Linked DNA regions of Nothobranchius furzeri. The protein of the gene in region 2 binds, or shares a complex with, the protein of the main gene of each other region. Links are inferred from orthologs where the notes say so. Each region holds a gene or a part of one and is shown on either strand. Other genes may lie near its edges.

Region 1 (2,349 bases), on a different chromosome or scaffold from region 2:
GCAGAGGGCGACAACGTCCTCTGCTGCCCGCGGATAAACGACGTAGGAAGTGACGCCACCATCGGCGTCAGCTCTGACAAAGTTTGCAGCCGCAAACGAAACGCTGCAGGTAAATAAAACCTTTCTGTTTTTAAAAGAACGGAAAGATGGAACGTTTTAGTAAGGATGCTACGCAACGTTTGATCAACGAGACCCCCGGTCCAGAAAAGAGAACCCAGTTCTGTTTTCATAGCCGACTACAAATAACTGGCTTTGTCATACGAAGGCGGAGGACATCTTGTTCTCGTCAGATGATTCAGCTCCACTGTGCCTGCACGTCTTCAACATCCTACAGAAACAAACCTTGTTGCGTCGTGGGACAAATAAAAGATTCCTGTCGCTCTGGTTTCCATCCACCCTAACCCGAAGGCGTTTCCATCGAGTCAGTCAGACGGAGGTTCGGTCACTCTCAAGTGTGAATATTTGAATTAAATCAATAAATCCTAATGAATGCACTTAAATGAAAAGATTTTCCTCTCTTTTTATTTGAAAATAATTAATAAAAACTGAATATTTATGCTTTCTATTAAAAGAAGACTTGGAAGGGGGGGGGGGAATCAGAGGTTTTTGGAGTAGCGCCGTCTCACGGAGTCTCTGTAGAACTGGAAGACCTTCTCCGATGCTTTCTGGCTGACGGCTACACATTCCTGCAGCTGTGGACGAACGGAAAGACAAACGACGGAGTCAGAGGAACGAACAGGAAGCCGTAAAGGAATTAGAAACACAAACACACACAGCCCGCTTCATCGCTCACCTCCTGGACCGAAAATGAACCTTTGGTCGATGACATCATCACTCTTCGTTCTGTGCTGTCGATGGCGAAAGTCATCAACGCTCGACTTTCCTTACGGAAGAAAAAACAAAAGGTCAGCATTAGCCTGCGCTGTTACCATTAGCAACCAGCTGGAGGCCCAGAACTACCAAATGAGCTGTTTGAGTCACACTAAACACTTTGTGTATTTCCTAAAATATCTTAAAGAGCAAGTCAACCCCTACCAGAATCTAACTCCACTCCCACTTCATGTTTGAAAAATGCAACAAATGCTGTTGCCTGGCAGACCAAGGGGGCGGAGCTGCTAACAAATACACACACACAGACATTGTGACATCATAATCTACCAGTTTACATCATAGCATACCTCTTAGCCAATAGTGGTGGAAGATTTAAATTAGAATACAATGCAGAGTTTTTACCTGACAACGGCACAACACTGCCAGTTTTAGGCAGAATATTTAAATTTTAACTAAGATGCACTGAAGTGACAAATTATTGACGGCACGTGTCTGCAGCACGATTAGACACTCGTTTCTTTAGTTTATCAGCAAAAAAAAAGGTTATTTGGGGTGACTTGCTCTTTAAAGAGCAAGTCACCCCCAAATCAGCTTGTTTTTCTGATAAACTATATAAACGCGTGTCTAATCGTGCTGCAGACACGTGTCATCAACAGTTTTGCACTTTTATGCATTTTAGTAAAAATTGAAATATTCTGTCTAAAACTGTCAGTGTTGTGCCGTTGTCAGGTAAAAACTCTGCACTGCAGTTGAATTTAAATCTGCCGTCGCTATTGGCTAAGAGGTACCCTGGAACGTTAGCTGGTACCATATGATGTCACAATGTCGTTGTGAGCCTGTGTGTGTGTATGTTTTGTATGGTAGGGGGTGACTTGCTCTTTAACTTGTTTGTGATTTATCCTCGTTATTGTTGCTTGGATGCTCTCTTTTCGGTCTCCAGTCGGTCACAACGTGCCTTCTCAGGTCTTTTCTCAGGTTCCTCCCAAAGTTGTCTCACATTTCAAACAGAAACTAAACAGAATCCTTCCAGGACACCCACAAAGACCCAGAGACCCAGGTGCGAAGCCCTGCGACTCAGGAGGAAGCTAAGAACCTCTCGCAAACATTTTGAGATATTTTGGAAACTCCCTGGGAAATGTAGTCGTGGCCCAGAGAGAAACTCTGCAGGTGAAGTAAGTAAAGGTCAGCACCCACAGGTTTTTAACCACGGATGGATGTGTGGTCTGCTGAAATGATGTCGACTGCACCGGGGTCGTCTGTGCCGAATTCCTGGGAGCTGTTTTTCTACAGGCTCGTCTTCATCAGAGCTTCGCATCAATTAAAACCTGAAAAGAACTAAAGGAGTCTCAGTATTTGCTTCAAATTCCTTTCAGATTTACTTTCTCCTGAGCTGCTGTGGGATCTGCGATGATGTCACCGTCCGCACCGATGGCGCACGTCACTCCACAGAAAAGACAGCTCATGGACAAGCCTGCATCCATCAGAGCCATGCAGGCCGCATTCAGGCAGCAGGACAGG
Region 2 (4,269 bases):
TTTAAGACTTGTTGGATTTGATCTGTCAGGTTCCCTCCAGGCACCAAATTCACCTGCCTGAGACTGCAGCTACATCATTCCATCATCTCAGCTTTGAATTCCACTGGAATGATCCTTAGAACTAAAATCCACTGTTGGATGTTTAAACACAAGTTCTAAAGATCAAACACATGTCTCCACAGTGATGGCTCCTACCTGTCATGAAACTTTTAACCAATAAGTCACCCTGTTCCAAACAGAAATAAAGCTTATTTCCACCAAAGTTATAAACAAGTTAATGAATAAAATGAGTAAAATATGATGAGGGGGAAGCCTACAGCCCCCCCTTCTGGAGCTTCCTGAACTGTTCCCGTCTCTGCGGTGCTGTCAGGGTGTCACAGCTCTGCAGGAGATTGGAGATGATCAGAGTCTGCTGGATGGTGGATGCTCGGACCCAAATCCGACCGTTCATTCCCACCACCAGCTCACAGGGGAACAGCTGTTCCAGGTCAGACCGGATGTCACTTTGGGGGGCCAGCAGCCTGTTAGGGAGGGAGAAACGAGAGCACGACCAGAGCTGTTACCATGTCAGAACTCAATGTTGGGTCTTTGTAACAGATTAACTTTGTCCTGTTGATAATCACTCACAGATACATGCAGGAGTTAAGAGGCTCTTGTTCTGATTTAGAACAGCTGCAAGACACTCACAGAAGCTGTTCTGTCAGAGGATTCTTTATTACCCAACACTGGACTTATGAGTCAGAATAGGCCACTCCCTCTGGCACATATGGTTCAATTAAAAATGGAACTAAAGACAAACTGACCCAGTTCTCAGACAATGACCTCTGCTTCAGTTTCAGACAAATTCTCTTTAAATAACCTGGGTCTTGTTCCAGAACCATCAGGACTAAATATGTGGTTCTGTGAGAACTTCACACCTTTGCAAGTAAATTGATGTCTGTAGATGAAACCCAACTGTAACAGAACCCGGCCTTTGACCCAGTCCTGATACTCATCCAGAAGCTCCTGCTGGTTCAGAGTTTGTCAGTCAGAGAATGAAAATGTTGGGTAATGTTACCTTCTAACGAGGCCCAGAGAGACTTTGAGGAGCAGACCACCTCCTCCGAAAACACCCATCCCGTTGGCCCGGCCCGATCCGTCGATACACACCAGCTCTGGTTCCATGTCTTTATTGGCTACAGTGAACTGAGCGAACACCAGGTCTCCAACCTGCACAGGGAACACACAGAGGGCAATACATAAGCTGATCTGGTCCAATAAGGACAGGGCACCAAAGTACTGATAGTCCAGAGGGACCCAAAAGGTCCTGAGCCATCAGACATGCAGCATTCAAACACACCATGTAGGCACAAATCAGTCAGGTGAGAAAATGAGTCTCAAAAGGATTTTTGCACTTGTAAACTGATCTGTGTGTAATGTAGTTTTGTCCGTGTGTACTAAGTGATTTGTGTGTGTGTGTTTATTTAATGATCTGTATGTGTAGGAACTGAAGTTACACACGAAAATGTAAACAAGTTACAAATCAAGAGTTATACATGCTTAGATCTATCTACACACACACACATCTAGATACACACACACATCAAGATACACACAGACACAGATTTTTTTGAGACTTTTTTTCTTCCCATAAGACACCCAGCATGACTAAACGATCAGGTGTACTTCCTGTTGGTCCCGACACGTTCCATACTGGGTCAGCGTAAAAACAATACATCAGAACTCTTCTTTCAATCCTCTACAGTGATCATATGTGTGTCTGTGTGTTGCATGCTTGTGATTTTGGGGTCACAAGGGACACAGAACTCCTAAAAACAGCTGACGGGTCCCCCAAATCTGGACTCTAAACATGACTCACTTGTTTCAAGTAGAAAAAAACTGTCCCCTGAGTCTCACCTGGACATTGGGTCTGTTCCTCTTTGTAGCTCCTTCAAAGGCCAGATAGGACAAAGATGCCTGCTCACTGCCTCCAACGTCCACCTTAAAGATGTCCCCAGACTTGGATGTCACAATACCAATGACCGTCTCTGCTTTGGCTGGGACATACTGAGGACAGAAGTTTCAGGTGGTGAGTGGATAGAACATGCTGCTTGTGCCAACGTGACCAGTTTACCTTTCCATAATCGTTACCGGATGAAACAGTATAAAACACCACTGCAACATAAACCTAACTTCACCCTAGTTTAGTTTTGTAGAAAGTTTCAAACTTTGACTTCCTTCAGACTTCCGGTACATTAACTTTTTAATTTTATATACGATCACAACAAAGTGTATAGAACAATAAAAATAACCATTAACAAGGAAACGAATATTCAACAGATTTGAATATGAAATAGATAATAAATGATAAACTTTAGGGTATAAAAAAGTTAACACATCGCAAATGTATGGATAGGGGGACAAATAACTAGAAACACATGTAATTTCCGCCGGGTTTTTCATCAGTGAGAACTCTGAACCTTGTCTATTAGCTCTCACGGTTCTGTTCTGACAGGTTCGGCCGCGAGTCCAGTCTGGACCGGTCGGTACCCACCCTCCACTGCTGTGAGTCCATCCAAAACGTGTGCGGTGGTTTGTGCCTCAACACGCCGCTCTTGCTCACCACCAGCCGGTTTCCGCTCTGCCGCAGCCCCGGTCCACACACCGGCCGCTCTGGCTTCACATTGTCTGTTAGAAAAATTGTGTCCTCAGACTCGAAGACAAATTCATCTCCAGGTAAAAGAACTTCACCGATTTTCTCCTTCAGACTTGAAAACATACCGCTAGCTAGAAGAAGTCTGGACCTCTTGGTTCTGTTCTGGTTCCGACTCAGAGCGCCCCCTGCTGCTCAGGAGGAGATAGACCTCCGGCTCAGCTCGCTCCCTGCTGCTCAAGAAGAGAACTAGACCAAACTCTTGCTTTGCAATAAAAAATATAAATAATATATTTATTTAGTCTGGCTAATTTCTGAATACTGAAGGAGATCCTTCTGGAGCTTTGCCGTGATTTGGGACCCTTTATGGAGCGGCAGACAAACCGCATGAATCTGATTCCAGTCCACACTGAATCTTTTAAAACTATAGAAGCGACTGACCCCAGAACCTCCTCAGCGTTTTTATCAGTAAGGGCATGTCTAAGTGGGCTATTGACACAAAATTTGCTCCAGATGTTGCTATAAACCCATATATGGAATTCACACAAAGAAATCAGGAAGTACAAGGTGAGTTATAATAAATAAAGTGAAATGACAGGGAACCGGTCACTCTGAATTTTTCATGCAGGCTGAACATGAAAACAGTCTTCTACACCTATCTCCTGCATTAGCTTCTGATAGAAAATAGACTGTGAAATGCTAGGATTTGAAAATCCTCACATATCTATGTCACAGTGTGAACTGGCCGAGCCTATCTTTGCTCGTGCATGCACAGGATGGCTTTTTTAACTTTTTTACAGTGAGGAGAGAGAACGGAGAGTGTCTTGGTGATAGTCACTTTGTAACATGGCTGAACATGTTCTGTTAGCCAGTCAGAAGAGAGGTGCGTGTCAGTGGCGTGTCCAGATCTTTTAAAATGGGGTGGCCTAGGTGATGCACTACTTTGTGCATGGGTGGCACCAATGGTTATGCTTTTTTACATTTTTTTTACCCCAAGCCTTTTGTGGACAATGAAAAGCCTATTTAAAGGGAATTCAGTGTGGTGGCACCTGGGGTGGCCAATCAGATTCCAAGGGTGGCATTTGCTACCCCAGGCTACTCCCTGGACACGCCCCTGGTGCGTGCATATTTTTAATAATATGAGTATTCCTGCTGTTTTCAGCCCACCTCAATGATTAAAAAGTTGGACATGTCTCCTTCACCCTCCATCCAGAAAGCAGCTAAGTGTTATCTTAGATGTTTCCATGTTGTTAACTAGGTACTTTTAGGATTTAAAAAGTCAAGAAGGGGGTCTGAATAGCTGTTAGAAATAGCAACAAAGTTGCTAAGTGGGCAACACTGTGGGGGTGAACACTTGATTTGCAACTCGGAGCAGTGCAAGAGGAAGGAGCAAATAATCGGCTTGTTTTGTTTTCATAATCGTTCAAAACTTAAGTCATAATTGGGAATAAAATTTGATTAAATGTGCAGCCCTAGTAGAGATTTAAGAACAGGGAGTGATGTGTCATGTTTTGAGGGATGTGTCTAACCCAAGACATGCAGAATCAACCATGAACACAGAATGATAGAAAAAATAAGATTTATTTTGGATAAATGATAATTAAAAGTACACTGGGAATTCCAGTGGTCAGGAGCTG

Evidence for each region. Proteins that work in one complex are often made in the same cells at the same time.
Region 1: exosc3 (region 2) and exosc5 share a complex: the UniProt entries of both Homo sapiens proteins name them as parts of the RNA exosome core complex. The link is inferred for Nothobranchius furzeri from reciprocal best matches to the Homo sapiens genes EXOSC3 and EXOSC5.

Annotation. Positions count from the first base shown.
Region 1 is NC_091753.1:58,582,384-58,584,732, reverse strand, and holds the end of exosc5 (exosome complex component RRP46), read right to left. Parts: coding exon 2,211-2,349; intron 884-2,210; coding exon 794-883; intron 693-793; coding exon 597-692; 3' UTR 501-596; downstream 1-500. UniProt on the Homo sapiens protein: Non-catalytic component of the RNA exosome complex which has 3'->5' exoribonuclease activity and participates in a multitude of cellular RNA processing and degradation events.
Region 2 is NC_091741.1:64,434,336-64,438,604, reverse strand, and holds the start of exosc3 (exosome complex component RRP40), read right to left. Parts: upstream 2,801-4,269; 5' UTR 2,759-2,800; coding exon 2,534-2,758; intron 2,047-2,533; coding exon 1,897-2,046; intron 1,210-1,896; coding exon 1,058-1,209; intron 522-1,057; coding exon 314-521; 3' UTR 1-313. UniProt on the Homo sapiens protein: Non-catalytic component of the RNA exosome complex which has 3'->5' exoribonuclease activity and participates in a multitude of cellular RNA processing and degradation events.